Linked DNA regions of Callithrix jacchus. The protein of the gene in region 1 interacts with the protein of each later gene in a biochemical or structural test. Links are inferred from orthologs where the notes say so. Each region holds a gene or a part of one and is shown in the gene's direction. Other genes may lie near its edges. The genes, in order: DLG1, KCNJ2, VANGL1, FRMPD4, ADGRA2, CTNND2 and GUCY1A2.

What was found.
Region 2: the proteins of DLG1 (region 1) and KCNJ2 form a complex in vitro, tested with the Homo sapiens proteins (2 studies listed by BioGRID and IntAct, with this or other methods). The link is inferred for Callithrix jacchus from reciprocal best matches to the Homo sapiens genes DLG1 and KCNJ2.
Region 3: the proteins of DLG1 (region 1) and VANGL1 interact in a test that uses a peptide from one of them, tested with the Homo sapiens proteins (2 studies listed by IntAct, with this or other methods). The link is inferred for Callithrix jacchus from reciprocal best matches to the Homo sapiens genes DLG1 and VANGL1.
Region 4: the proteins of DLG1 (region 1) and FRMPD4 interact in a test that uses a peptide from one of them, tested with the Homo sapiens proteins (2 studies listed by IntAct, with this or other methods). The link is inferred for Callithrix jacchus from reciprocal best matches to the Homo sapiens genes DLG1 and FRMPD4.
Region 5: the proteins of DLG1 (region 1) and ADGRA2 form a complex in vitro, tested with the Homo sapiens proteins (2 studies listed by BioGRID and IntAct, with this or other methods). The link is inferred for Callithrix jacchus from reciprocal best matches to the Homo sapiens genes DLG1 and ADGRA2.
Region 6: the proteins of DLG1 (region 1) and CTNND2 interact in a test that uses a peptide from one of them, tested with the Homo sapiens proteins (2 studies listed by IntAct, with this or other methods). The link is inferred for Callithrix jacchus from reciprocal best matches to the Homo sapiens genes DLG1 and CTNND2.
Region 7: the proteins of DLG1 (region 1) and GUCY1A2 interact in a test that uses a peptide from one of them, tested with the Homo sapiens proteins (2 studies listed by IntAct, with this or other methods). The link is inferred for Callithrix jacchus from reciprocal best matches to the Homo sapiens genes DLG1 and GUCY1A2.

Annotation. Positions count from the first base shown.
Region 1 is NC_133516.1:25,002,646-25,006,452, forward strand, and holds part of DLG1 (disks large homolog 1), read left to right. Parts: intron 1-1,680; coding exon 1,681-1,805; intron 1,806-3,404; coding exon 3,405-3,574; intron 3,575-3,807. UniProt on the Homo sapiens protein: Essential multidomain scaffolding protein required for normal development. Recruits channels, receptors and signaling molecules to discrete plasma membrane domains in polarized cells.
Region 2 is NC_133506.1:126,195,617-126,200,177, forward strand, and holds the start of KCNJ2 (inward rectifier potassium channel 2), read left to right. Parts: upstream 1-1,606; 5' UTR 1,607-1,698; coding exon of another isoform or gene 1,699-2,262; exon of another isoform or gene 2,263-2,267; intron 2,268-4,561. Other genes in the region: uncharacterized protein LOC128932178, read right to left, coding at 1,699-2,262.
Region 3 is NC_133508.1:153,635,516-153,639,881, forward strand, and holds the start of VANGL1 (vang-like protein 1), read left to right. Parts: upstream 1-1,272; 5' UTR 1,273-1,403; intron 1,404-1,527; exon of another isoform or gene 1,528-2,022; intron 2,023-4,366.
Region 4 is NC_133524.1:12,035,339-12,039,765, forward strand, and holds the start of FRMPD4 (FERM and PDZ domain-containing protein 4), read left to right. Parts: upstream 1-1,465; 5' UTR 1,466-1,739; intron 1,740-4,427. UniProt on the Homo sapiens protein: Positive regulator of dendritic spine morphogenesis and density. Required for the maintenance of excitatory synaptic transmission. Binds phosphatidylinositol 4,5-bisphosphate.
Region 5 is NC_133514.1:38,693,395-38,697,884, forward strand, and holds the start of ADGRA2 (adhesion G protein-coupled receptor A2), read left to right. Parts: upstream 1-1,508; 5' UTR 1,509-1,909; coding exon 1,910-2,175; intron 2,176-4,490.
Region 6 is NC_133503.1:194,576,182-194,579,988, forward strand, and holds part of CTNND2 (catenin delta-2), read left to right. Parts: intron 1-1,661; coding exon 1,662-1,872; intron 1,873-3,807. UniProt on the Homo sapiens protein: Has a critical role in neuronal development, particularly in the formation and/or maintenance of dendritic spines and synapses. Involved in the regulation of Wnt signaling.
Region 7 is NC_133511.1:6,897,698-6,902,028, reverse strand, and holds the start of GUCY1A2 (guanylate cyclase soluble subunit alpha-2), read left to right. Parts: upstream 1-1,395; 5' UTR 1,396-1,862; coding exon 1,863-2,156; intron 2,157-4,331. UniProt on the Homo sapiens protein: Has guanylyl cyclase on binding to the beta-1 subunit. Isoform 2 acts as a negative regulator of guanylyl cyclase activity as it forms non-functional heterodimers with the beta subunits.

The DNA of each region.
Region 1 (3,807 bases):
GAGGCCAAGGTGGGTGGATCACTTGAGGCCAGGAGTTCAAGACCATCCTAGCCAACATGGCGAAACCCCGTTTCTACTAAAAATACAAAAATTAGCCAGGTGTGATGGGACATACCTGTAATCCCAGCTACTTGAGTCAGGAGAATCACTTGAACTCAGGAGGTGGAGGTTGCAGTGAGCCAAGAGTACGTTACTGCACTCCAGCCTGGGTGACAGAGTGAGACTTCATCTCAAAAAAAAAAAAAAGAGAATATTTGCATTCAGTTTTTATTGTATGTTATAATAGTAATGCCACCTTATCTAGCTAACATTTTGTGGAAATTTAGTTTTCCACACAAGCAGATTTCTTAAGTAAGTAAATGTCTGTATGTTCAAGACTAAAATCCTAGATAATTAGATTTGTGTTGGAATCCAAGAAAAATAAATCTGAGAGAATCTTTTACATGTGTATCTTTATTGTCTTCTACTTAAATTCGGATCACCTGCTCAAGTTAGGTAGCTACTGGAGTAACATTCAAGTAAGCACAGTATTAATGTACTGTACATATTTTAATGTAGTGGTTTGTGATGTCTCCTTTTTATTTTATTTATTTTTTTAATCCTTTCCCAGGACCTTTTAAATTCCTTTTGTTTAGTCAGAACTGTACATTGTATTCTTCATTGGTTGAAGAACTTGAGTACCTAAGTAACTTGGTAACCTCCCATCATCCACTGATACTATTGTTAAGATTCAGCTAATTCATGAAGTTAGATTGAAAAACATTTTTTAATGAAGATAGAATTTTAAGACAAATGGTGGTAGAGTGAGTGATGACACTATTTAATACTAACAGCTAAATAATAGGTCCAGATATATTTGCTTACTTGAGTTGCCTGAAATCCAGTTAAAACATTCTTGCAGATATAAATATTTTTCAATACCATTGCTTAAATCAATTATTTTTAAAGACTTTTTGTGGCAGTTGAAACCTTACTGTGAAGCAGAAATCTAGTTTCTCCAGTTCATAAAATAAGAAAAAGTAGGGCTGCTTTGGCAAAATTTTACTTTGCTATCAAGAAAATTCACCAATGTTAAGTTCTCAGGTTGGAGTTTCAGTATTAAAAAATACCTTTCGTTCATCAGGTATATTGGTTAAACATGTGAAGGATTGAGGCAGCTAGCACATAGCATCTACAATTTGGTCATTTAAAAATAAGCTGATGGCAAGTTAGCAGAAGAAAAACACCATCGCCTCCCCCTTTTTTAAAGGCTAAAAAAAATATTGATTTTACCTATTCAGAAATAACAGCAGGAAGATCTCTTTAGCATTTGTCTCTTAATAGAGATGTGCCCTACCAAACATGGCTGAGGTGCAGTCTAAAAGAAACAGACTTATAGTGACATCTCTGCAGATGGGTGACTAATCCAAGGGCAAGCTGCGCATACTTTTAAAGAAAAAACTGTGCAGTAGACTTCAAAAGTCCTTGGTATGTTTTCTTGAACCTCACCTGCTCAGCAGGTAATGCCTCTGAAGGACTTTCCTTCAGAACATGTCCATTTAATTTAGAATCTTTATATTACACATATACCTTTATTTGTTGTGTTCCTTACATTAGTACAGTTTCTGCATCCTTTAATGACAGAAACCTGTCAACAAAGAGAAATCATATTCATGTCAATTTTTTTTCTTCTATCCTCAGGGAAATTCAGGGCTTGGTTTTAGCATTGCAGGAGGTACGGACAACCCACACATTGGAGATGACTCAAGTATTTTCATTACCAAAATTATCACAGGGGGAGCAGCTGCCCAAGATGGAAGACTGCGGTATGCTTTGCACTTTATTTTGTGATGCCGAATCTACTTTGTGTATTTTTCTTGAAGCAGACTGGACAGGGATAAATAGAAATAACAACACTATCATAGTAACTAACATAGGGTAGATGCTTTAACAACATGCAAGTCAGTGAATGAGATAATTACGTCTAAGCATTGTTTTCCTGTTTTCATTTAGGAGTCCTGTTTTTTTTTATCTTAGATATTATAACATTTTGAATAATAAATTTGGTTGATGGTTGAAATGTTTGTGAACATTCTATAAATAAAATTCTATAAATGTTTATTTATAGAAATCATGAATTTCCCTTTGTATTTTCAAATACACTCACAAAATATTTTCCATTTCCTCTATGGTTGGGAAGCATGTATATAAACTTATTTAAGATATGGAGGATAGAGGATCACACATCCATGTTGTATCCCACACCACAAAGAGTAAAGTATATGCAAACTTTAAATAATATATTTTCTTAATTGAATAGATGAAAATAACATTTGTCTCTGTTTAAATTTAGTGTTCCATTTTGGAAGATATATTTTGCAAACTTTGGTTTCTTGGCGGGGGGGGTGGGGCGGGTCATAAATTATGGCATTTTTCCTATTTCCTTGTTGTTAAAATAGCCTGAAGTCTTAGGACAGAAGAGTTTATATAGTCTGTTAAAAACAGCATCTTATTTTAAGGCTGTTGGTACATTATGCAGTTTTTCAGTTTCTAAGCTTCTCACTGAATACGACAGGTGGTATATTAATGAAATAAAATAGATATAAAAATTAATCATTTGACCATTCATAAAAATGTAGACATTTGCTTCCTGATTCTGTTAATTAGATATAGAAATTTGTCATGACCAGCTTTAATATTTTAATTATGTTTTGTTTACCCTCTCTATCCAATTTGAGATGACCATCTTTCTTTCCAGATGAAATACCACGTAATCACAGGGACCAGAACTAGGGAAAAGGCTAAGACTAGGAACAAATCAAACTTTAATACCATGGCAAATTATAAGTTCTTTACCTAAGAAACCTTTGAACTAAGTGACCTAATTTTCAACTTTATACAAATTTCAAAAAATAACTTTGTTTTTTTAAGTCTAGTATGTAGGTTGGAAATTGCACTCAAAAAATTATTTTTAGGCTGGGCGTGGTGGCTCATGCCTATAATCCCAGCACTATGGGAGGCCAAGGTGGGTGGATCATGAGGTCAAGAGATCGAGACCATCCTGGTCAACAAGGTGAAAACCCGTCTCTACTAAAAATCCAAAAATTAGCTGGGCATGGTGGTGTGCGACTGTAGTCTCAGCTACTCGGGAGGCTGAGGCCGGAGAATTGCTTGAACCCAGAAGGCGGAGGTTGCGGTGAGCCGAGATCATGCCATTGCACTCCAGTCTGGGTAACAAGAGCGAAACTCCGTCTCAAAAAAAAAATTATTTTTAGTTTATCTCAGTTTTCACACTATCTCTGTGATCTTAAACTCATTACTCAGACTATTTGAGCATCAGTTTTCTTATCTTTGAATCACAGCTCTGTCACTGTTATCTGGGTGGCCTTAGGAAAGTTACTTTAAATATTTAATTGTTTTCCCAGGGTCAATGACTGTATATTACGAGTAAATGAAGTAGATGTTCGTGATGTAACACATAGCAAAGCTGTTGAAGCCTTGAAAGAAGCGGGGTCTATCGTACGCTTGTATGTAAAAAGACGGAAACCAGTATCAGAAAAAATAATGGAAATAAAGCTCATTAAAGGTCCTAAAGGTATGTGGTAAGTCAAACTAAGATAAATCTTTAAGTAAGAAATCTCTGAGTTAAATATACCTATGAACTTTATCCGTGACATACATTCCAAGGTTAACAATATTAGTGATATTCCACAGAACTTGAGAGGATTTTTAATTTCTCTGTTATCTCTACTGATTTTCATCTTAAATAGAATTTTAGAATATTTGCATTTCTACCAAGATTGCAGTATTTGAAAAGTTCCTATGCTT
Region 2 (4,561 bases), on another chromosome or scaffold:
CTTTTAAAAAAACAAAGCAATAGAGTTATTCAATGCTACCATGCATTTAGAAAATTTCACTTGCAAAATTTAATCCTTCATACTTCCTTATTTAGCTAAGTAATTAAGATAATGATTCTACTAAGATTGGAAAGTTGGAATTCAAATCATCAATTTTTCCCGAAACTTCTCCTTCAAGAAATAAGCCTTGCTGCACAACCTTTAGTCCCCTGGGAGGAGAGAAGTTGGGGATGTGATGTTGATAATTGATGACAGAGGCCAAGATTTTTCTATCATATGAAACTATCTTGGCCTGTGGTGTATTCATTCTATTTAGAATAGAAGACTAAAGCAAAATCATTTCAATCCAAGCTGCATAAAAATGGCATCCTTTTCCGAGTGAGTGACTGGTTTTCAAAGAGAGCTCATTACCTGGAACAACAAGAGCAAAGAAAGTGTTGCCTCTCTGAATTCATACGGTTTGGAAAATTCTTAGCCATCTGCAGATGCACCAACTGAATCATAATAAAGAAGAAAAAAATCTGTAAGTGATTAATTTTCTTTTTCCATTTGGGCTTAACGTGTTTTAAGGTATAATTAAACTTTTGGTCTGTTTCTTAGAAGTCCAGGAGGAAGCATATGTCAGAAGAAGCTTATTGAACTGAGCTGTTAACTCGTCCATTATCCTTCGGTTAATCTAGAGTTAACTTGTCAATCCTCAGGTTCTTTTAGCTTTAGGGTACAGTCTAGGTTCTTAACATCCATCTACTTTACAGTGTTAATTCAAGCTGTTTATAAATAACACATAACTAAATAAACGTTAAATTAGACCTCCCTTAGGGCAGGCATTATTCCCAAATGCAACAGAGTTGGTACCAGGGCTTGGTGAACAGCATAATCTCAATAAATTAACAGGAACCACATCGCCATTTGGCTTTCAGAGCAGCCACACTGAGTGCTTCGTCTATTTCACACCCTTTTAATTTAAGTACCTTGCTCAGTGCTAAGAGGCACACTCCATAAGGCAGGATTAAGTGCGTATCTGCAAAACCTAAGCAACCATATTTCACCAGCACCTCCTAGGGGCCACGTGTGGATATGAGGCTGGGAGGTGGGGACGCGCGCAGAACCTTTTCTTGAATTGTCAGTTCACCTCTCCTACACACGGAAATCCACCCCGACTGCGCCGTCCACGATACCAGCTAGTCTGCCGAATTAGTTTAGCGACTCAATGAGGCCTGTAGAGGTTTAAATAAACTGCACAAACGATACATTTGATCGCTCGAGGAAATAAACATTTTTAAAAACTTAGTGGAAGGAAAGGCTCCTACATATATCCTGTTCTTTAGGAGCAAAGCTTAGTTAGGACACCGAAGTACTCAGAAATAATATGCACTTACTCTTCGATTTACACACACACACACACACACACACACAAAAACCACACGGATTAGTTTATAAAGTTCCAGGATCCAGACCCGGTTAACACTCAAGTTGCTTTTTAGGGGTCTGCGCACTCTTGCCTGGCTCCGCTGGAAATGAGAGCTGGGAGGCGCTGAGGCGAGGGCAGATCTAAGTGTCTGTAGGAGTAGCTATTCCAGAAAAATCATTACTCTCTAATTGTTCTGATTTTAGATCAGCAAAGCGTGCCGGGCGGTGGTGGAGAGATTGAGGGCGGACAGGGCGAGAGGGAACGAGCCGTCTCCCCTTCAGAGAAGCCTAGGCTCCTTGTAAGTACTTCGCGAACAGTCCGGAGAAGAAACAGCCGAGCGGCGCTGTAGGGGCCACACTTGCGCGCGTCTCAGTCCCTGGGGCTCTGCGCGCCCGTCCCAGCCACTCGCCCCATTGACTTAGCGGCCTCTCCGGGCGCAGCAGCCTCGGCTGGGGGCTTCCAAGGGCCGCCGTGGGGGCTCCGGCAGAGAGGCAGGGGAGAGGGAGACGCGCCGGGGCCGACGAGCAGTCCTGCCACGGCGGCAAACGTCTCTCCCCGGCGCTGGCACCTCGCAGGCCCCCTCGAGGAGCACGCAGGGCACAGCGCTCCCGCGAGGAGGGGAACCGGGAAGTGCGTGGGGCTCGAGACGGGGTAGGAAGCTTTGCCCAAGGCCAGGCTGCAATCAGGCAGCCGCAACGGCCGGGCGCGGAGCGTCCCACCTGCTGCTGTCCCAGCTGGGCCACAACTTCCTCCTCCCAGGCCGGAGCCCGACTCCCCGGCCGGCGGGGCTCCGAGGGTGGAGGGGGAGGAGGCGGCGGCAGGTTCCCTCCGCTGGCAACGCCTCGAAGCATCCTCCCCTCCCCGCCGCGGTTCCCGGGGCCGGCCGCGCGGCCAGGAGCGCTGCGATTGGCCGGCAGCGGCCGGGGGCGGGGCCAGGAGAGCCGGTGTCGCACGGACCGCCTCAAAAGAGCCCAGGATATTGCAGAGCGCACTGGAGCCCTGGCCAGCGCGCAGCCTTCCCGGCGCCGGCAGGCTGGGTCTTGGGAATTCTGGTTAGCTTTGGCTCACTCGCTCTTTACAAACTACTGGATCTTACATGCCTCTGTACCCCCCACTTCCACTCCATGTCCCCATGCTCCTGCGCCAGCAACAGGTAAGGGCTGCTGTGTTTTCTTCCTTTTCGCTCGTTGCCTGTGTGTCCTGGGGAATGGACTCTGGCCGCCGTCCCCTACCCTACCCTGCCCCGCTGCTCCAGAGGTGCCCAGCTGTCACACTGCTGTAGCGCTCACCCACGCTCCGGAGTCCCAGATCATGCCTATATAGTTTGTGTGCGCACCAGAACATCCCCAGAGCTAAAAATACTGAGACATGCTTGGAACAGTTGAGCAATAGAAACAGATTTCTCTGCAGCATCTGTTTGTGCTCATAACTTCCAATGCACCAGCTGTAGCGAGATACTGGGTTTGGAGGCAAGGGCGAGAGTCTGTGTTCGGTTCTCACTCTAAGAAAAAAAAAGGTGGGAGGGAATTTGGTTTGGGGGTACGTCTCGAGCTTTGGTCTTAAAGCTTGGCAAACCTTGGGACTCAGCACTATTTTTGATCCTTGGCTTTTTTTTTTTTTTTTTCTTTTTCCGTCATTGCTTCAAGTATAGCTGTGAGTTTCAAACAGAGTAAGTGTCTCAAAGTTGCCTTCCTGGAAGAAGAGCGGGAGCTTGAGTTGGGTTTGAGCCTGAGGATCGCAAAACTTTCACATTATATATCACTCTCCCCTAACCAATTTGTTGTGTTTAGTAATAATGGCATTAATACCTAGCTTGAAGACAGTGTGGTTTTAGGGACGCAAAGTAGTCAAAACGACTTGATTCTGCAAAAAGATTGCATCATAGCATGGATTCATTATGACAATTGGAAAAAAAATTAAGGATATGAAATGGGCAGTTTAATGTCTGTGTTTGGGTAAGGATATCAGCAGGATGATCACTAGGATCAGGCTGTGAATTCTGGGGATTTTCTTAAATTCAGAGTTTACCTGTTAGGAAATAAGGTGTTATTTGAAAACCTGTTTTGGATATGCAAAGAATCCACATTGCGTTTTACCATTTGTTTTCTTTTCACATTAATAATCAATGGACTGCCAGATTTCCTCTTGCCAACCACTGTTGTGTGTCTGCTGTACATTATCTGTACACTTGTTAGCGTTTTCCTGCTCACTTCCAAATGTTTTATTTGTATTTGCCATTATCTGGAAAAATCCTGGTGCTCTGAAGGGGTAAGAGAGGTTAATTGAAGCATGGTGGAAAGGGTGAGAATAAGGTCAAGGTCATTTTACTTAGCTTTCTTCCCTCCTCTCTCATATTTTGATGACATTTTATTTTTTAATGTTCTTGGTCTCCATAAGAAATATTTTATCTAAACTCTCATGAATTTGGCGTAGAAAAATAAAAGAACACAGTCTTTCTACATCCTTCGGACTCTTCAGTTACAGAATCGCTAGTTAGCTGTAGTGTCCTTATGTGACTTTTGCATAACCTGAAAGATTGACAACAACTACCTGCACAGATTGATTTTTAACCATATATTTTTGTTTACCAGACATGTCTATTTTTCAGCATATGCAAATACTGAGCCATGCTACAAGCCAAGCGTGGTTGAGTATAAATGTCGGACATGGGACTCAGGTAGATAGATAGGTATCCCCCCTCCCCTCCCAACTTTCCCCTCCTCCTCCCTTATGTTTATTGAGCTTCTAAGAGGTTGCTTTCCTAGCAGTTGTGCTCACATAGCAACATGTGCCCACAGCACACTCAGGCTGGTCTATATGGCGTCAGCTGGGGAATAGCTGTTCTAAACAGTCATTAGGAGACCTCTCAGCCCAGTACATTTTCTTTTGCTATCTTTATTTCCTATCCTTAGAAACTTTCTTATTCATTACACACCATGACCACATTACAGGACACATTTATTCTTATTTGATTTTTTTAAGTTATTTATAAGCCTATTGGAAGCATTACCTATATAGTCAAAACAATTTAGATCCCCCATTTGTACCACGCGATCTCCTTGACCTTATATTTATCCATAGCTCTTTCTCCTTTAACATCTACCTAAGTTTGAAGCGCTGAACTATTTTTTCCATTGCTTATGCTTAATT
Region 3 (4,366 bases), on another chromosome or scaffold:
GGGGGGGCCATCACACACACGGGTCTGTGTGGGGAAACTAGGGGAGGGACAGTGGGGGATGGGGAGTTGGGGAGGGATAATATGGGGAGAAATGCCAGATATAGGTGATGGGGAGGAAGGCAGCGAACCACATTGCCATGTATGTACCTACGCAACAATCTTGCATGTTCTTCACATTTACCCCAAAACCTAAAATGCAATAAAATATATATTTAAAGAAAAAAAAAGAAATTCGGCACTTCATTATACACTGCTTCCACTGGAAAGTCCTGCCTGGAATGGAGATGATCCGTGAGGAGCCCTAATGCTACCAACACAATACAACTAAGAAAAGTGCAAATATTCCTGAAAAGCGTTGCCAACTGTTTTGTAACACTCACCACAATCCTGCAAGGCGGGCATCGGCATTCTCTCCACTTTTCAGACAGAGAAACAAAGGCTCAGAGAGGGAAGTGTACCTGGTTGGAATCTGCACTGAAGCTTCAGCCACCTGCTTGCAGAGATGTGCTCATCTAGCAGTTTCTGAGAGCCTGCTCTGATAGGGGACGGGAGAGGAGAGGCTTGCTGTGGTGGTTTGTAGGTTTGTAGGGTGCGTGTATGAGCCTGTGTGTTTGGGTGTGAGCGCACGTGTGGCTATTTGTGGAGTCATTTAATGAGTTATTTCCAGGGCTCCATGTGTGTTTAAGTGTGTGTATATGGGTTGAGATGTGGTGTATATGGACATTTGTGAGTCAGTTCTTGGAATGTGCGTATATGAGTGTGTTGAGTGGGGTTGGGGGATTAATCCCTGAGCCGTGTGAATATGTGGGTTGGGGCGCTGCTGAGGGCAAATGGACTTGAATTTTGTGTATGATTGTGTGTGTGTGTGCGTATGTGCTTGAGATTCCAGATATGTTGGAGGGTGGGTCTCGGGGTGGGGGGAGACCAATCCCTGGACCTTGTGTTAATAGTGCCCATATCTGCCCCAAAGAGGGTGGGTTACTGGGCTGTGCTGTCTGTGTAGAGTGTGAGTGTGTGTATGAGGGTGAATGTGTGTGTGGAGTGTCATTCCCCGGGTCCTGTGCACGAGTGTGACAGTGCACGCCTCCGTGTGTGTCCCGGGTGTGTGGGGTCGGGGCGGTGACCAAGGGAGGGGGACGCCCGCGGACCGGGCCCCGCCCTGCGCTGCAGGTGGGCCGGGCCCGCGGCGGGGCCGGCAGCGCTCGCTGCTCTTGGCTCGCGGCCGCGCCGGGCTCGCAGGGCTGGGCTCGGGCTGCGGGGCGGCGCCGGGACAGGAAGCGGAAAGCAGCAGTGCAGCGGCGGCGGCGGGGCTCTGCCTCTCCAGGAGCCCAGCGCAGGCCGCAGAGCCGGGGCCGCTGTGAGCCAAGACCGCGGGCCGCGGAGCCCGGGCGGCCGGCGCGGAGGTGAGTCCCGCGAGAGACCCACGCGGCGCGGCGGCGGCGGCCCCGCGGACAGACCTTTGGCAGGGAGACGCCCCCACCCGGGACCCCGCGTGCCCCTGCGCCCTCCTCCCGCACTCGCCCCTCCAGACTTCGACCCCGGGTCTCCGGCTCCCGCTTCAGCCAGCGAGCTCCCTTCCCTCCTGCGGAGCGCTCCGGGTCGCGCTTCCTCCGACTCCACTCTTCCCCGCGCAGTGCGCCCCTCCTGGCTCTGCCGTGCGATCCCCGCCGCGCCCCAGTCCCTGGGGTCCCGGGGTGCCCTGCTCACGCCTCGGACGCCCCTCTCTCCCCTGCCCGGCCTTTGGGTGCGCCCCTCGGGTGCGCGTGCCGGGGCGGCGGGCAGGCCGGCAGGGAGTGGCCGAGCGTTGGAGGCACCGGGCGGCTGCAGCAGCCGTGCAGGGCGGGAGCCGGGCGCGCACCCGGGTTCCCACCCCCGGAGGGGCTCGACCCGGGCACCGACTGGCCCTTCGCCAGGAACCGGGACAGAACTGGTCTGTGTGCACGCCTCGCTCACAAAAAATTGAGCCGGCCCTGGAGGCCTGGGGGGCGAGTCCGGTTGCGCCTCGGAGAGAGCAACAGGCAGGTAGGAGTTTACTTTCAAAAACGCCGGGGTGGAGCCGAGGCGCCCGGCGGGTCTCTGCCCAAGGTGTCCCTGCTGGAGGAAATCTCACCGCGCCGGGGCAGCCTTCGCCACCGGCAGGGTTTCATTTCCTTCTGCAGCCTTTGAACTGCCCAAGCATCCCGCCTGGAGAAGTGTGAAGCTTTATTAAAATTTAAACGCGTCCGTGGTGGCGGCAGGAGTGGGGCGGAGCCGCGGCCTGGCTGCTGGATGATGAGCAGATGAGACTTGGAGTCGAGAAATCTGTTGCTCAGTTTTCACTTCTCCAAACCAGGTGTAATGCCCACCCTGCGAAGGCGTCGTGAGCGCCCTTAGACGCTGCTTAGGAAGTATTGGAGCGCCTTACGATGGTGATTGTGTGGGTGGCCAGTGCATTTTGTTAAAACTCTTGCCCTGGCTTTGGTTAGAAATGAATGTATCTTAGACTCTTAGTTTAAAAGCTAACAAACTGTGAAGAATCTGGCATTTTCACTGACATGTTTATAAATTTTACAGGGTTGCTGAAAAATATTATTACTTATATCACCAATCAACAATGATAATTAGCATTCTCCTTTCAGTGGGTGGGTTGAGTACACAGCTCCCAGGCTCTGTAAATGAGATGGCAGAAATTGCCTGAATACAGGGAGAGGTAATTAGCCATTTTCTGTAACCACTAATTACAGAGTTTTTAGAGTTGAATTAAATCGATGTGATATAGTTGGGGCTTTGATTTGTGGGAGGAAACTGTTTCTTTTTCCAGTTCAAAGAAATAACACGCTTCACCTATCCGTGAGCATTAAACATTCCGAAACGTTGCTGTCTCTGTGTAATTAGTGAAAACACTCTGGGTGAAAGTTCACTGTTAACAATGTTGGCAGTGAGGCTTGCTTGCAACTGCATTTGTAAGTAAAATGGGAGAAGAATTTTGAGAGTGACATATTTGTAAAGACTACTTGCCAAGCAGTACATTCTTATTGTCTTATGTATGAAGTAACAGGACAAAACCATAAAGGAAATTTAAAGTTTCTTTACCAAGCACCAATTCCATGTCACCCTTTGTTGAAGGATAAATGTGCTGAATGAAGAAGGCATCCTCCTTGTTATCATCCCCTTAACACACACACACACACACACACACACACACACCGTTCTTGCTGTCCTAGGCTTTATCACCTATTTGGGTGGGATGGGCCCTTATCACATTATGTTTTAATTGCAGGTCTCCACACTGGGGCTGTGAGCTCCTTAGGAGTTGGAACTATTTTAGATTCATTTCTTTTCTTTTGAGTGCCCCACAATGCTTGGGACACAGAACCTGTGAGTAGAAGTTGAAATTGCAAAATTATTTGTGGGGTTATATGTAGTTTGGGACAATTTATGATTGTTGCTTATACTCCTCTATAGAAATAAGCCATTCTGGTAATTGCTGCAATGCTGTAAATTTTCTGTAGCTAAGAGCACAGGTTCTGGAGTTAGACTCTCATCGTTCAAGCCCTGGCTCCAGTGTGTCGGTTTGGTTTCCCTAACTAACATGATACTAATGTTTTCTTTTCCTTGAAGTCTTGTGATGAGGATTAAGCGAGATATTACATGTGAGTGACTTAAAACAGCATCCAACACATAGTAAACACTTGACAACCATAAACTGTTAGACTATTACCATCATCTCGGTAAAGTCAGCTAGCTGGTTAGGGTCTTGTTGTATAGGGCATGTGATTTGGGCATCGTGCTATTCTATTTTCCTTAAGATGGACAAAATGAGGTGGGCTTGTAATTGGACTGTGTTTCTGTTAGCATATTGGTCCCTCTGAAATTTGGTGCAAGGCTATATGTGGGTTCTGCTGTCTCTAGCAGTGTCCTTTTGAATCCCACTATAGAAACAGCAGTGATTAGACCCCATACCATCAAATTTACAGAGGAGGTAGTACTCACGAGATCTATTTTTCTGAAGTTTGAGTATCTGGCAGGGGACAAGGGAGTCACTTGCAAACAAATATACATCACAGAACTGCAGATGTGTTAACAATTCACAGCTCTTCAGAAATCTGTACCCAGCTGCTGGAGGTGTTTCAGGGTAATTAATGACTGGAGAGAGAAGTGATTCTGGCAAGGTGAGTTGAACTCATTGGTGAAACAAGTAAAACGAAGTAGATATTTTCTTTCCTTGTAAATAATGACCCAGAATCATTCATTTATAAGCTGTTGTAATAAAAGAATCACTGGGTTTGTCACAAATGCCATAAGCTCAGCGGATCCTCACATCAGTGACCTGCATGATGTTTGATGGTTTATAGACAGAAGTTCAAAATGTTTTATAGATCTTGCC
Region 4 (4,427 bases), on another chromosome or scaffold:
TTAAAGTATACAAAGTATGCAAATATTGTGCTATTTTATATCAGGGACTTGAGCATCCATGGATTTGGGTATCCATGGTGGTTCTGGAACCAATCCCCCAAGGATACTGAGGGATAACTGTATCTAAGGGTGCTTTTGTTCTACAAGGGCAGAACTGAGTCATGGTGACAGAGAGTGCATGGCCTGCAAAACATAAAATATTTGCTATGTCACTCTTTACAGAAAAAGTTTGCCAACCACTGCTCTAGTCTGTGTTTTATAGTTTCCCAGCTGGATTGAGTCCCAGTTGTCCTCAATACTGACTTCCTTGATAACATACATTCTTTTGCCTTCTTTCCTTTTCCTGTCTTGTTTTCTCATCTACCTTTGCTTCTTAGATGTTTTCCCATATAAACTACCCATACTTACATTATTGACCCAAGGTTGACTTCTAGGGGTACCCAACTGCTGTGGTTTGAATGTGTTCCCTAAAGTTGGTATGATAGAAAATTGATTCCCAATGTGGAGATGTTAGGTAAGGCCTACGGGGAGGTGTTTGAGTCATGGGGTACCACCCTTAGGAATGCATTAATGCCATTATTGTGGAAGCTGGCTCATTAATATAGTAGTGGGCTCCTATTTGTAGTAGAGGGCTGCTTACAAACATATGACTTTGGCCCCCTCTTTCTCTCTCTTTTACCCTTTCTTGCTTATCTGCCATGTGATGATGCAGCATGAAGGCCCTTGTCAAATATGCTGGTCCCTTGATCGTGGACTTTTCAGCCTTCAGAAATGTGATAATAGATTTCTGTTTATTATAAATTATCCAGTCTCAGGTATTCTGTTATGGCAGCACAAAATGGACTAAGAAGCAAACCTACACAGTCATCATGTCTTTGTCCTAATCCTGCTCCTACGACTCACTAGAAGTGACCCTAGAACGTATCAGCTTCAGAACATTGGTTAAGCTACTGGCCCCTATTCCCCACCCTATCTTTTCTGCAGCACCTTATGAAAATTCAACTTTGTGGGCATGAATTTCTCAAATTTGTTTTATCTATCTTACCAAGCACCACCTCAGCACCAGGGGTGATAGAGGAGAGAATGAAGATGGGACAGAGGAAAAAAATTCCATCTTGTCCTACATTTGATGCTCACTTCTTAATACAGCTTGTAAAGCTTATAGCTGATCCCAAGGTGTCAATGTATCTCAGTCATGGCTGATTGTTTTTCACTGACCTCTGGACCTTTTCAGCCTTGTGGGACATGGCCAAGTCATTGCCCACCCCAACCTTATTGCTGCTGCTTTCGTTTGTTTCTGTCTACCACTTCTAATTACTTAGGTCACTTCAGGCTTTAAATCTATCTTCTAAATTGTGACACAGCCATAATTAGGCCATATGTTAATTAGCAGGATGACACTGTGTGCCTTGTCACTCGTCAGTGATGTAGATCATCCCAGAAAGTGCCATAGAAAGAGGAGTTCAGTGAGAAGAGGAAGTCTAAGGGAGGTTGGAAGTGACTCTTTGCTCAGCAAAAACTGCCTTAGCAGGAGAAAATGGCAATGTGTAAGATGGGGAAAGGATGGGGTCACACAAAGAAAAAGAGCTAGAGTTGACCTCTTTTCCACTCTGGGAATGAGATGTAAGCTAGGAGGCAAGCCTGAGGCTGAGACTCCACCAGGGATGGCAGAATCTTCTGAAGAATTGGAGGTGGTGGCCAGGGCAGAGGTCAAGGTCTTGACGGAGGCCATTGATGAGGTGAGTGTCAGACATGCCCCTATCTTTATTGCCTGGAAGTTTGTGGGGAGGCCAATCAAAAATCAAGGCCAATCTCTGCTTCTATGTATACTTTCAGTGCCCTTTAGGAAATCTAAAAGAGTTGGGTCTGATTGCTTGGGACTGTTTCTATGTGCCAGTTACTCATTTATTTCTGGTTCTTCTTGTTTTCTGTTAACTAAACTTGTTTTCTGATGTTCCTGGCATAGGAAAGTTGAAAAGGAGACTGGATAGGTCATGACTGTTTCCTGTTTCAGATATTGTCACCTTTATCACTCAGGAGACAATTTCTAGGAAACTAATTACTGAGGGAATTCATTATTGGGTGGGATGACATGTGAATTATAAAGATATTAACTTCACTCCAGTTTGCTGTTAACCCATAATGTGATAGAAACCTGTTCTGTTATCACCTAACTAATGGATGCAAGGGACTAAGGCATTCATTTTAAGTTACATATTTGTTTGGATTTTAGAAAAAGGCATTTGTCACAGGAACTCTCAGAGCATACCAAGGAGACATTTTGAGGGCTAAGTTTATGCTAATAATAATAATTATTATTTATTGCTAATATTAGTTGAGTTCCTCCTATATTTCAAACCTTTACAGGCATTACTTCTAACACACCTACAATTCAAGAAAAGTATCATTATCCCATTTAACCTGAGGCTTACAGACATTGGATCATGCTCAAAGATCACACTGCCAGCTGAGACAAAACTGAAATCTATATTTCTTTTCTTTTCTTTTTTAAATTCTAAAATTTGAGCTCTTGTCATTTCCAGATAATAGATATTTTCAGCTTTGCCAGCCATACGGTATGTATTGCAGCTACTCACAAAGGCAGCCATAGACAATTTGTAAATGAATGAATGTGGCTATATTCCAATAAAGCTTTATTTACAGACACTAAAATCAGAATTGAATATAATTTGCACATGTCATGAATTATTATTGTTCCTTGGGTTTCTTTTCAACTGCATAAAAATGGTAAAATCATTCTGTTCACAGGCCATATAAAAATAGGTGGCAACCCAGGTTTGGCCCACTGGCCAAAACCTGCTCATCCTTGCATTGTACAAATCTGCCTTTCTAACAACTTACAAAAATAATGAAGTGAAAGCAACTGAGCTACATATTTTACCTAAGGGAGCCAAGCCAAATATGCTGATGCTTATGGGACCATAGTTCTTATTCTAGCTCTACCATCAAATTAAATGTATAGGATTAGGCATGTCTTAAAAGCTTTCCCAGATGAGGTTCCTAACAGCTCCACTATTCTTTCATATTAATCATAGTTTGACTGTACCAAATGATTTCCATAAAATCACAATTTGAATCTAAGGTGACAAATTGGGTGGGGCTATCAGCAATATGGGGAAGACTGGGGAAAGAGTAGGTGTGGGGGTAACTTCAAGAGTTTAACTGTGAACCAGTTAAATTTGGGGCACATAATAGACATAAGTGGGAACAGTTGAATATAGAAATCTGGAATTCGGAGAGATGGCAGGACTTGATATTGAAATTTGGGAGTCAACATTAGCATGTAGACTGAATCTGAGTACATAATGGCATCTTTTAGGGCAGGTTGGTTATTGACCTTTGAGGTGGGGTAATTCTTCATTGTAGGGACTGTCCTGTACATTGTAGGACGTTGAGCAGCATCCCTAGCCTCTAAATGTTGATAGCACATTCCCCTCAGTTGTGACAGCCCCAAATATCTCGAGACACTGCCAAACGTCCCCTGGGGTGAAAGTTATCCTTGGTTGAGAATCACTGTTTTAGGCTGAGAATGGTCCTTCACTACTACAACTTTGGAAATCAGAAAGAGGATGAGAAAATGGGAAAAGAGACCAAGAAGGAAGAGTCAGTAAGTAGAAAAATTCATATGCTGGGTCCCAACTATCTAGACTAGACTTGGTTTAACATTTGTTGAAAGCCAGAGGTGAAGGGTGGGCAAGAGGCAATGCTCCAGAGATCAGGGCTGAGCCACAGTGAGCCCCACCATATTTTGTCGATGGGATTTCCAGTAGTGGTTAAAGGGATGGGGTAAACCAGGCTCTAAATGCGCGGAACCTGGGGGTGATGCAATGGACAGGCTGTTTTCTAGTAGGGAATGGTTAAAAAAAATAGATGGTTAAAAATAACATTGGGAAACCAAAGATAGAGACCTTTACGTGTTTCTTTTTCTTTCTTATTTTATTTTTAGAAATAACTCTCAGAGGATAAAACTGTTATGGTCTGGGTGAAGGAAAAAAACAAGAATAGAAATAGTTTCTATGGTTCTTGAGGAAAAGCAAAAGTACTTAAGAGATGCGGTTTTTAGCATCCTGAGCTGCAGGATGTGATGTGGGGGGTGTGTGTGTGTGTGTGTGTGTGTGTGTGTGTGTGTCTAATTGTAGTAAAAAATAGTGAACAGATTGTGTGAACTCTCTCTTTATACATTTGAAAATTGAAGAGCTATGGCTTGACAAAGGCTCAATATAAAGGTTAAAAAATTTAATCCCTCATATTGAAATTAATGTCATTAAACAAGTGTGCCTCCTAGTCACATGATAATAAATATACCAAAAGAAAAGGAAATGTCTGCTTTTTCCTTTTAAGTCTTCTCACATCAAAATGAGGGTAATAAATTTACCTTATAAGGTTATGTAGAAGTGCTTTTCAAT
Region 5 (4,490 bases), on another chromosome or scaffold:
GGATCAGGGAGTGAAGAAGAGGGAACAGGAGTCCTGCCCCATCCTGGCAGCTCTCTGAAGCAGCAGAAAGGTGAGCCTCTGTGGGGAAACAGACCCCTGGGCTGCACTTCTTCCTGCCTGTCCCCACCCTTGGTTCCTGTATACTGCAGGCAGCTTTATTTTTTCATTTTTATTTATTTATGTGTTTGTTTGTTTTTGAGATGGAGTCTTTCTTTGTTACCCAGGCTGCAGTCTAGTGGCACGTTCTAAGCTCACTGCAACCTACACCTCCTGGGTTCAAACGATTCTCGTGCCTCAGCGTCCCAAGTAGCTGGGATTACAGGTGCCCGCCGCCACAGCCAGCTAATTTTTGCATTTTTAGTAAGGACAGGGTTTAACCATGGTGGCCAGGCTGATCTCAAACTCCTCACCTCAAGTGAACCGCCCGCCTTGGCCTCCAAAAGTGCTGGGATTACAGGTGTGAGCCACTGCAGGGCCTGCAGACAGCTTTATACCCACCACTAGCTGTCAAGGTCATGCCTACCAAGGCCACCAGTCCTCTGCCTTTGGAAACCACGTGCTCCTCCTCCCCACCACACTCTCTCCTTCTAATGCCACAATAAACTGGGGACCAGGCAGAGCCCCATTTCAATCCCAGAGATCAGCTATGCCAGCAAGCTGGGGGCTGCCTCCACGGTCAGACAGTAATAAGAGGCAAAGCAAAGTCTGGAATAGGGATCTCCAGATCCCTGCGCAGTGCTCTTTCCACACCCTGCTGCAAAGCCCTGCTCCTCTTCATCTACTGTTCCCTTGTTCCCACTCACTGTTCCCAAAACGCGTGTACACACACACACACACACACACACACACATATTCTGTCACACACATGCACACACACTCATGCATACATTCTCACACACACACGCACGCACACACACTCACACACAGCTTTGTGGAAAATGTAGGAGGCACAATCCAGCCTTGTCTGCCTTGGCCTTTGACCTCTCCTTGGCCGAAGGACAGGCACCCCAGCTGAGCGAGGTCACTGCAGCGGAGGAGGGTCTGCTGCCTCCTTCGTCTTGGCTGCCAACCTCCTGCGGCGGCCTTCACCGGAGCTGGAGGGAGAGTGAGAGCCAACTTCCAGACTGACCATCGCGTCAGGAGCCAAGGGAAACCTCAGAGCAGAGCACCAAGTTCAACCCAAAACAGGGCACCCAGATGTCTCTGCCCAAGCCCGCGGGTCCAGGAGGGCCCCAGCAGCCTGGGGGTGCAGGCTGCACCAGCACAGGCGAGGGAGGTTTTGTGGAAGGTCGTGGTGGCAGGCTCAGAGGTCTAAGATGGGCCCGGGGACGGGGATGAGCGGGAGAGGAGTGTTTTGGTTCGGGGCGGGCGCGGGGACGCAGGGTCCTGGAGCCAGCTGGCCCGCCCCCACTCGGCCGAGGGCCTCGGCCTGGCCGCTAGTCAGACGGCGCTAGGGCCCCGCGGAAGGCCCGGGAGGGCGGGGGCCGGCGGCGGGAGCGGCGCGGCGCGGAGCTGCCTCCATCCATGGCACGGAGCGGCGGCAGCGGCGGCGGCAGCAGAAGCCCGGCGCGATCCGCTAGGTCCCAGCCCAGCGCCCAGCAAGCAGGCGACGCGGAGGGGCCGGGCCTCCACCGGGCCGAGGGCCGGGCGCTGAGACTCGGGCCGCGCCGCCGGGGGCCGCCCGCGCTGAGCTGACAGCTGCGCCAGCGTCCTCCCCGCCGGGGCGCTCGCCGGAGATGCCCCCGGGGCGCGGCGGTGGGGACCCCCGGGCTCGCCTCCGCCCAGGGCCCCCCGCCCGGTCCTCGGGCGCCCCGGCTCCCCGCTAAGCACGCCTCCCGCACGCCTGGGTCCCTCCGGCCGGCGCGCAGCCCGGCCCCAGCGCTGTGGGTCCCCGCGGGGAGATGGGTTGATGGGCGCCGGGGGACGCAGGATGCGGGGGGCGCCCGCGCGCCTGCTGCTGCCGCTGCTGCCGTGGCTCCTCCTGCTCCTGGCGCCCGAGGCTCGGGGCGCGCCCGGCTGCCCGCTCCACATCCGCAGCTGCAAGTGCTCGGGGGAGCGGCCCAAGGGGCTGAGCGGCGGCGCCCCCGGCCCGGCACGCAGGAGGGTGGTGTGTGGTGGCGGAGACCTCCCGGAGCCTCCCGAGCCTGGCCTTCTGCCTAACGGCACCGTTACCCTGTGAGTACCCTATCAGGCCAGCTCGGCCCGAGCTGGGACGGGGGACTAGGGGCAGCGAGACGAGAGGGGCGGGAGCAGGGGGAAGGGGGCGATACCCCCACTTCAGAGATTCAGGCGCCGGGAGGGGAGGGTTGGAGGAGCAGCGGGGAGACTGGGGCTCCTGGAGTGCGGAGGCGGGAAGCGGCTGCGGGGGGCAGGCGCGCCCCTGATAGAGGCACCGAAGGCGCCCACTCACCTGCACAGGTGAAATGGAGTGCACGCCTGTAGGGCACCCACGCCCCGGGTTCCAGACTGGACTAGGGTTGCGGACTTTAAGACCTGAGAAAGGTGAGAGCGGGGAAGGCTTAGGAAAGATGGACACCCGTGGCCCAGGACGGGGCTGTGTTCCTAACCACTGCGGACGCGTCCGGAATCCGGCTGGAGGAGTCTCTGGATTTACCCGCCTGGCCTTGTCCCTCCCATTGGGGTCATCCCATCCATACCCCCTGCCATGCCAGCGCCGCTTCCCACCGGTCTCTTTAGAGCAAGGGGAGGCTGGGCTCGGGAAAGTCGGCCCTTGGAATGCGGGCGCTTCTGGGCTGCGGGAGACCCTGGCGTCCCGCTAGTTCTAGGGCCCCTCTCCCACGGCGCCGTTTGTGCGGTGAGCTCTGTGCTGGGTCCCGCGTCCCTGCCTCTTCTTTGCCCCCCCCCCGGAAATAACTCGAGCTCTGGCTGTTTCTTGATTGACTTCGCGCAAAGATTGCCAAGAAAGAAAAGAGGCTGGGGAAGCGGGATCCCCCCACCGCCGCCCACCCCGGCCTCATCCCGCGACTTCTCTCTCAGTCAGGGCCTCAGTACGCCCTTGCTTTGCTGGCAGCGAGCGCGGTGGCGCCGCAACCCGACCCCAAGCCTCCTCCAACGGGGTCGCAAGTTCCAGCAGCTGCGCGAGCATTGGCGACCCCTCCCAGCCGCAGAGGTTTCCTGCGCCGGCCACGTGCTCGCAGCTCCACGCACGCCGTGGACTTGAGGGTCGGGCGTCCGCGGCCGCCGTTTCCTTTCCTGTCCCAAATCGAGCCTAAGAGCCGCTTCCCTTTCCCTGTCCTCCTAACCCCAGTGGCAACCGTTTCTCCACCGCCCCTTGCCCGGAGTCCCGGCTGGCCCAGTCTTTTCGATTGTGTCCAGAACAATACAGTAACGCCTCTGGTTGGGTGAGTTCAGAGACTGCCCGCTTCCTGACAGGACACAACTGGTCAACCTCTGACGCTGGCCGCCCGGCCTGCATTTTCCCCAGCCCGGGTGTATGTGTGTGTGCCTGTGTGTGCCTTAGGGGTGGAGGCGGTGTGTTTGCTCGCTCCCGCCTCCGGCTGCTCAGGGCTAAGTGGCCAGGAAAGGCACCTGTGGCTGTTCAGGGCTGCTCTCTCTGAGTGTCCGCTGGGGTCTGAGGGTCCAGGCAGGCCTGGGCATTCCCCAGCCCACTCAGTTCTGGAGGAGAAAAACGCTTGCTCTGAGGAATAGTCGGTCGTGTCTGCCTTGAGTCCCAGCTGCATAATAATTCAGAACTGAGATCTGGGCGTGCATGTGTGCACACTCCAGTGTCTGCTTATGCACATTTGTGGGATGCGCATTCTCTGCGTTTCTGTGTCAGGGTTAGGGAATCCTAACATATCAAAGGCAAAAGGAAATGGCTGGGGGAGGGGGGGTAGAGGGGATGGATAGAAAGTCGGTTTTGCAGTACATCTTAAAATGATCAGGCCATGGTTCATTCCCATCCACACCACTTCAAGGAGAGAGTGGGGCCAACTCTTGGTAAAAATGCATAAGAACCGGGTGGCAGCAAAGGTGACCCCTAGTTCACCCTCCCATCCCAAACCCTCCCAGGCCACTGACCCACTGGCTTAGGACAGGATATCCTTTAAAGAGCAGCCTTCAAGCCTGGCTCTGGATTCCCCACAGGGACACAGACAGGGCAAGGCCAGGGACGCCCTGGAGAGTCCAAGGGACCTTCAGCCTGGAGGGTAATGGAATCCTCAGTCACAGACTTACTGCTTAGCTCTTCCGCCAGGATCCACATAATCCTCATCCTCATGGCACCCCCACGCCCACCCCCCACTAGCTGTCTTTGGAAAGAAAAAGAACCCATGCTCTCCTTCAGCTGAAGCTGGGCAAGGGTTCCTTCCTTAAGCTCAGTCCCTCCAGCACCCCCATGCCCACCCCAGGATGTATCTCGAGGGAAGGAACAGGAGAAGGTCTATGTAGGGGCTGAAAGGGGATGATCCGTCTCCTCCCCATCGGGAAGAGCTATAGCTGACAGCCCTCTAAGAACAACAAAAACCCCA
Region 6 (3,807 bases), on another chromosome or scaffold:
ATGTTTTTTTCAGTTATTTTGCCCTTCCTTCATTGCTTTCCTTATAAGGAAAAGGAAGAAGGAACACATTGGTCATCTCACGTCTATGGAGCTCAAATTTGTCTGCTAATGATTTGTGGGGGTTAATGAACTGATAGAATCTCCAGCATGCTGAGCTCTACGAAAGTAAACTCTTAACCAGAGTTAAGCCTGATTTAATGATAAATAGATAAACTATTTTAGGTGCTGTCATTAGAAAATAAATATGCTCCATTTGGGGGGTTTGCAGGCAAACCATTTTTGTCAGACACTTCCTCAGCTATCATCAAGTGAATGAACACACTTTTCTATTTCAGTAATTTAAGCATCAGCATTTTCTCTCTAAGCTAAAATAAGCCACCTAAACATAGGATAAGAGCAGATACCAAAATTACAAGGGCCTGTGTTTTATGTATCACTGCCTGGAATGAAGATATCACTGCCTGCTCCCACAAGGTTCCCTTTTGCTGCCAGGCACCATGCACCTGAGAATTCAATAGCAGAAGAAGATATTATTTACAGATCTAAATGAAGGTGAAATATTTCATATAGCTTTTAGGAGCTAGCTAAATATGCCCCATTGAGGGATGGGACACAAGAAAGGGATCTAACTTGAGGCACTTGCCAATTACATCTGAAAAATGTGAGAACAGCCAGCTTTGCTACAGGCACTCATTTACTAACTTCCAGAAGTAAATTAAAGGAGCAGAAATGGCAGCTACAGGTGGGATAAATTGTCTGCAGTGTTATTGGTAATGCCTAAAGTGCTTTGTAAACTAAAAGTACTCCATAAATATGTCATTATAAGTACCTTTATCATTGGGAATAGTCAGATTAACAATGCTAAAGTGAATTAAGGAAGCAGAATTGGATTTTATTATATTTTTCGCACAAAACACACCAAATTAGTAAGGGTTACATGGTAGAACTACACAATAAAATACCATCAGAGAGACAAACAGCGTCAGGTTACTGTAGTTCAAAGGACACATAGTTACAGACTGTCAAGTGCCTCTCTCCTGCTTTCCATGTTTCTCTTTGCTTTAAAGGAATCAAAACTCGGGACTCATATATGTGATCATGTTCTCCACACATTAGTGCTTTGACTGTTGTTAAAAAATACAGGTTCTGACATAGCTTTCATTAAGGTATTTTTGAGGGTTATGTTAGAGTTTCCGTACATTTTTCTTGACTTCTATAAACATCAAGCAAGAACATAATCACACCTAACACCTATTGAGTCCTGTGTCCTTGTTCACCCCCATGTGTTAAATACGTTCCATACATTCACTCATTTATGCCTTACAGCAACCTTGTATGTATGGTAGATACCATTATTGTCTTGCTTTAGAGACTGAAAAAACTGAGGCTTAAGAGGCATGAAATAACTTGCCCATGAAATAACACGCTTTGATCCCAGGTCAGTCTAGCAGCAGAGTGCATGCACCGCCATGAGGAATGACTGCTTTTTCTCTGTAGCTGCGTCCAAAGTTACCCAATAGAGAACGTGCAGTGGTGGGAAACAAACAATATTGCATAAACAGGGCCTCTTGTATTCTCTTCTCCCCCATACCCACCTCTGCCACTGCCTTCTGCCTTCACCTTGACCTCCTTTCAAGTATTCTCTTTATTTTCTTTTCCAGGCAAATACGCCATGCGAGACCTAGTCCACAGACTTCCAGGTGGGAACAACAGCAACAGCACGGCAAGCAAGGCCATGTCGGATGACACAGTGACAGCCGTCTGCTGCACCCTGCACGAAGTTATTACCAAGAACATGGAGAACGCCAAGGCCTTACGGGATGCTGGTGGCATCGAGAAGTTGGTCGGCATCTCCAAAAGCAAAGGAGATAAGTAAGTTACCTGGTGACGTCATATCTCTGTCCTGGTAAAACTGGTTCTGAATGTGCCTTTCAACTATGATTGTCACCGAAGGCATTTGTCTCTGAGAATCAAGAGAAGGAAAATGGCAAATGGTTTCCAGTCTTCTCTCTCTCGATTTTTTTTATCTTGAATTTTTTTTTATACTTTAAGTTCTGAGGTACATTTGCAGAATGTGCAGGTTTGTCACATAGGTATACTCGTGCCATGGTGGTTTGCTGCATCCATCCCCCCATCATCTACATTAGACATTTCTCCTAGTGTTATCCCTCCCCAATCCCCCCACCTCTATTCCTCCCCCAGCCCCCCATCCCCCAACATGCGTGATGTTCCCCTCCCTGTGTCCATGTGTTCTACCATTTGACCCAGCAATCCCAGTGTTCTCTCTTACTGTTGGTAAAGTGGACTTGACAAACCAGCACACCCAGGTGCTCCTTCCACCTGGAAGAGACATGAGTTCGACCCAGATATGTGGAAGTGTTTTGTTGTTGTTGTTCCTCTGTGGTGGGAAGTCCATGTGTTGATGATGTCTCTTCATCCTTCTGCTCTTTGCCTCTTTAGCTCTGTGACCAGGTCAGGTCCACTTTACCAACATCACAGCAGCCGCCAAGTCATAGCAAGTCACATGCAGGAAGGATGAGGGAGGAGACAAGGTGTGATGGAGTCAGAGAACTCAGCTCTAATCCAGTACCCTCCCTTACAAGCTCTGAGATATGGGGCAGATATTTAATTTAATAAGTCACTACGCCTATACTTTCCAATCTAAACCCAATGGAGAGGCTATCACAATATGCTAGCTGGTCAAATCTTAAAGAATGAGTAGAAATGTCCCAGGCAAAGGGGATAGTGGTGAGAAAGGAGGGCCTTCACGCAGGTAGAACAAAAAGAGATAGGACTTGGTGTCAAAGCAACTGCACCTCCTTGAATAGGAATGTCCCCCCAGCCCAGTTTTTAAGAACCAACAGTATCTTACTATATACAGCCAGAAAACAGCTTCACAAGGCAGCCCATCAGTATATCAGTAAGGTGTCAATTTTACAGAAACCTTCACTAACCTTAATTAAATTTTGCCTCTTGGAAGTTATTCCATGTGATCAAATAAGATCGAAAGGGTAAACATTTTGTTATCAAGAGTCTATTTCCTGACTTTTCATTCCCTGCCAAGCAACCCCTCCCCGTCCTTTTACATCTAAATGCTAAATAATTTTTCTTTTGTTATTAAACACTTTGAGGGATGCACTTTAAGACTTTCTGGAAATTCTGTCTCATTATTTCACTTGATTCAGGATATCACCAACGTATTATAGAAGATTCAGAATTTCTGTTTCAGCACTTGGAGACCTCCAGATAGGCTCAATCAACTATTTTGCATTTGGATTTGAATGTTTTCTTCTATCAAGTAGAGAACCCCCACTGGACTCATATAATAATTGCACAGTATAGATTGTTGGCTTGAATTATGTCTTATGCTATTGTACTTACAATACAATACTATACTATGCAGGCAGGAAACGATGTGGTTTTTTTCTGTATTTACCTTCTGTAGCCCTTCGCAATCTCTAATTGAAGTGCTTACCTGTTTTGAGCATTAAGAGTTTAATATGGTAATGCTCTTTTGAGCATACACACCCACACACACAATGAAACCACTGTCTGCAAAACAATCTATTTTTGTCTATATTTGTGAGACATTCAAAGATTAAAGTATTTTCTCTGAATTATACAGTTAGAGAGCTTTGAGGAGTGGTTTGGCGTGTATTAATTCTCTCCCACTGTATGAGCAGCCCTACAGCAATAAGCATCACTAAATGGGCCTAAAAGAGGGAAAAAAATGTTTTATTGAGCCCTATGGTCAAAGAAAGTTATTTGGTGAAACTAATTGAAAACTCACTCGAGGAAACCGTCTAT
Region 7 (4,331 bases), on another chromosome or scaffold:
TAGCGTTTATATCTAAACCCTCACAAACACGTGGGAATATTTAGAGTTAAAAGCAAATTTGGGTGGGGTTACAGCACAGGTTTTATGGTTTTGTTTTGATTTTTAAACACACACAGTCCACACAAACCCATCTGTCTTCACATGAAAGGACCCGTTCTTTGGAAAAAATGCTTTGGCTTCAGATTCACTGGGGAGCTAAAGCCAGAGACCCTGAACTTTTCTCTACGCTGATGGGGGGAGCTGGGGAGGGTGCTTATCTACTTTAATCTACTTTATTGCAGGGGGAAGTACAGCCTGGGACCCCTCTTTGGGGATGCTGTCATTTGCCCCTTCTTCCCATCCTTTATTCTATCCTCAGAACCAGTATGAGGCTTTTCTGGGACTAAGGCAAGGTACAGTGGGGTCAGGCGCTGGAAGGACTGGTTTGCAAAGAGAAGCTTTGGAATGAAGCCGCACAGCTGAAAGCGCGCGACGAGATGCCTGCGCTGTGGCGAGTCAGTTCTCCGGCTGCGCGAAGCCTTTATCCCGACTCCTCTTAGCTTTCTGAGCAGCGTTTGCAGTCAAGTGCAAACAGATCGCATATTCGGTGCAAAGAGCCCTGAGGATGATGGATGTGGGATCGTTCCCCGGTTTCCCCGGGCCAGGTGCTAGACGGTTTGAGGAGGAACTGTTCTCCACTTCTCCACGCCTGCAAACGGCTGGAGGGGGCAAGCGGAGCTGTCCAGCACTAGTGAGGGGCCGGCGCAGCCGCGAGCCCCGCGCACAGCACCAGGCTGAGGCTCAGCCACGGCGCTCTCGCCAGAGCAGACGCTGTCCTCGCTGCCGCCCCGTTCTGGGCTCGCTCTGCGCCCACGCGGCCTCGCAAGAGGCGGTGAACGCAAGTCTCCAGGAGCTGCTCCAGCAGCATGGGCGCCAACATGTTGCCCCCGTCCTTCCCTTCCCGTGTAAGCGTCTCCTCTGGAATGGGCTGGCTGCACGCTTGGCCTTTCCCTTTCGCCTTGTAACTTCCTAAATAAACTCGGAGAAAGGACAGCATGAACCCTAACCTGCACTTCACACTGTCAGGCTTCCCCGAGGTGGCCCTAGGGGGAGGCCTGTCCCCCCCATCCCCGAACCCTTCTCTCCACCAGCGCCGCCAGAGCCGGTGTATTCCTCAGGGCCCAGGATAAGGCGTCTGGGGATTGCGGTCCCTCCGTCCGAACCAAGCTGCTGTGCGCACCTCCTCGGAGCAGGGAGGGCGCGCAGAGGACAGCGACCAAGTGTCCTCGTTGCTCCTGAAACGTGGCGACAGGCGAGGCAGAGACTCCCAATGAGTATGATGGCGACACGTGATAGTGGCGGAGGGAGAGCATGGGGGGGCGGGAGATAAAGGGAGAAGGAGGGAGGCGGGCAAGTGGAGAGAGGCGGGAGGAGAGGGGCGGGAGCAGTGAGGGAAAGGGGGCGAGCGAGGCGCGCAGGCGGCACCAGCCTCTGCCTCCCCGTCTGCCTGGGCCGCAGCCCTCCCCGCCCCGCCGGCCGCGGTCACACACTTGGAGCCTCCCCGGGAGCGGGAGCGCGGTGCACGGCGATGCGCCGAGGCGGGCGCTGAGCGGCGCCGCTTGAGCAGCAGCAGAGGCGGCGGCGGCCCCCAGCCCAGCGCGGCGCTGCCGCCGAGCCCGGGCCCCAAGGTGCGGGAGCACCCCAAGTTCCCGCCATGAGCAGCTGGCTTGGGGGGCTCCGCGGCCCCGGGGGCTCCCTCCCCGCCGAGCGCGACCACAGCGCCCCGGGGCTCCGACGCGCGTAACGCTGCCCCCGGCGGGTCCCGCCACCGCCGCCGCCCGTGTCCCCGCCGCCGCCTCGGCCGTTGCAGCGCCGCCCGCAGCATGTCTCGGAGGAAGATTTCGTCCGAATCCTTCAGCTCCTTGGGGTCCGACTACCTGGAGACGAGCCCGGAGGAGGAGGGGGAGTGCCCCCTGTCCAGGCTCTGCTGGAACGGCAGCCGGAGCCCGCCCGGGCCGCCCGAGCCCAGCGCGGCCGCCGCCGCCGCCGCCGCCCCAGCCCCGGCCGCTTCTGCCGCCGCCGCCGCCGCCACGGCCGGGGCCAGGAGGGTGCAGCGCCGGAGGCGGGTTAACCTGGACTCGCTGGGCGAGAGCATCAGCCGCCTGACAGCGCCCTCGGTGAGCAGGGGCCGGAAGGGGGGACTGCCTTCTTGGGAGAGGACACGGATCCGTAAAGTTGGCGCCGGGTGAGCCGGGCGCGAGTGCAGAGCCCGACCGCTTGGGGGCGGCCCGGCCTCCCCCCACCCCGCCCGGCCCCGGGTTCCAGCGGCTCTGGGCTGCAGCAGCTCTCCTAGGCTAGGGTGGAAGTGGAGACTAGAGCGGTGAGAAGTAAGATTCCACTCCTTTGGGGTCTCCTGATTCGGGGGCCCGTCTGCCCACCTCCAGCCTTGAACCCCGCTTTCCCACTGTTCCCCCTGGACAGCCCCAGTGCTGCTTCACACCCACCTGTTTTCTGTCCCCCAAACTTTCCCAGGCACTGTGTTCTACAGTTCGGATCCCCTGTCTTTCATCCTGTTCTCGAGCATCCCAAAGGAGCCCCAACCCCTTCCAGGAAACCCTTCCTCTCCTTATTTCCCACACTCTCTTGGTCTCAGCGTGACCTTCCTTGACATCTCGGAATCCCACAGGCTATCTGCATTCTGTGTTACATCCTTTTCCTCAGATCTTCAGACACGTTTTGCCAGATACTTTTCTGAGTTGCCTTCTGATGAAGGAATCTCAATTCTCGAGTTCTCCCAACCCCATAGCTATTTTTTTTTCTTTTTTCTTTTTTACTTATCCGCTAAGCATTTATTCTTTTCTGGATAAAACTGGTGTCTGGTTTTCTTCTCCTCTTTTTTTAAACTTTAATTTAATTTTAAGTCCCAGGATCCATGTGCAGGATGTGCAGGTTTGTTACATAGGCACAAAATGTGTGCCGTGGTGGTTTGCTACACCTACCAACCCGTCTCCTAGGTACGAAGCCACACCTGCATGAGCTATTTAAACTGCGCTATACTTCTTGCACCTGTACCTCATCCTTTACCATCTCTTCAATGGATTCCCTAGTGCTTTCTCTCTCATTTTTTGATGGATTCTTTATACTAGGCTCTTCCTGAATATTTACGGAGAGAATAAATGCCTTCCTAGACCTCTCCAACTTGTGCTCATCTCGGGATGTCTGTATTAGCAGGTTCAGGTGTGCACCAAACTCCCCCTGGTCGTAGGCATCCTTCGAGAGTACTCCTGCCTCATTCCCACCCAGGCATTTCAGCTACCCTTGGCTTTTACCTCTTGCTGGAATGCCAGACCTCTGGTCCAGTTTTTCCCTGTCTGGGTGAGCTCTGTTTTGAAGGAATGCATTCTACTGCAGACAGAATTTGAAAAGGACTCAGTGTCAATCTTCCTCAGTCTCATCTTTTATCCTCACCCTGACCTTGGATACAAGAGCTTTAACTCTTCCTGACAGCACTTTTACCTACTCGCCCCTAGGACTTTTACATTCAGAGTTTCCAGAATGAATCTGAACATTGATCTTGTTTGATTACTGTTGAGTCTCTCTTTTGAGGTTACTACTGCAGTTGATGGTGGGAGGGACCGAAGAAGGAGTGGGACCCTGAGGGGACTGAGTACTGGTACCGGGCAGTTCTTCAAATATTCTTGTGGCACTTGCATTAATGGAGAATGATGTTTTTCTTTTATGAGACCTTATTTAAGATATATAAATTACTTATTATGTTACTTATTTTGAACTAATTTAGTCATTAGGAACACATTGAGAAAGTCATCTTGCTCTTCTTGTGTATTTTCCTATTTGATATATCTTTCTGCCACTTTTTCTTTATTGATAACCTAGAAAACAATCCTCAGGATAGGTTGGGTTTCTTTTTGCTGTTCTTACCTGCCAATATTTCCCAGGCAATGTAATTTTATGAATTATTTGGTGTGGCAAATTGTTGAATATAAGTCTTTATAACAGGAGTCCAGTGACCCCGAGCATCTGTAGGCTTTTGTCAGTACCTAAAGCAACATTTGTGCAATGTGATAGTTATTCAGTACAACAGATTCTTATTTAATGAAATGATTTTGCTAAATATAATGATGAGTTTGTGATTAGTTTGGGGAGAATTGTTGATATAACCTTGGAGTGATTTTTTTTTAACTAAGAATTAGAATTTACAAATTTCTAAAAAGTAATGGCAATGCCTCTGTAATGCTAATTTAAACTAAGACTATTTTCAACAACTTACATGAGGAGTAGATAAGAGAAACTGAGAACTGAAGTATTTTCTGCCTGAACAAGAGGGAGGAAGT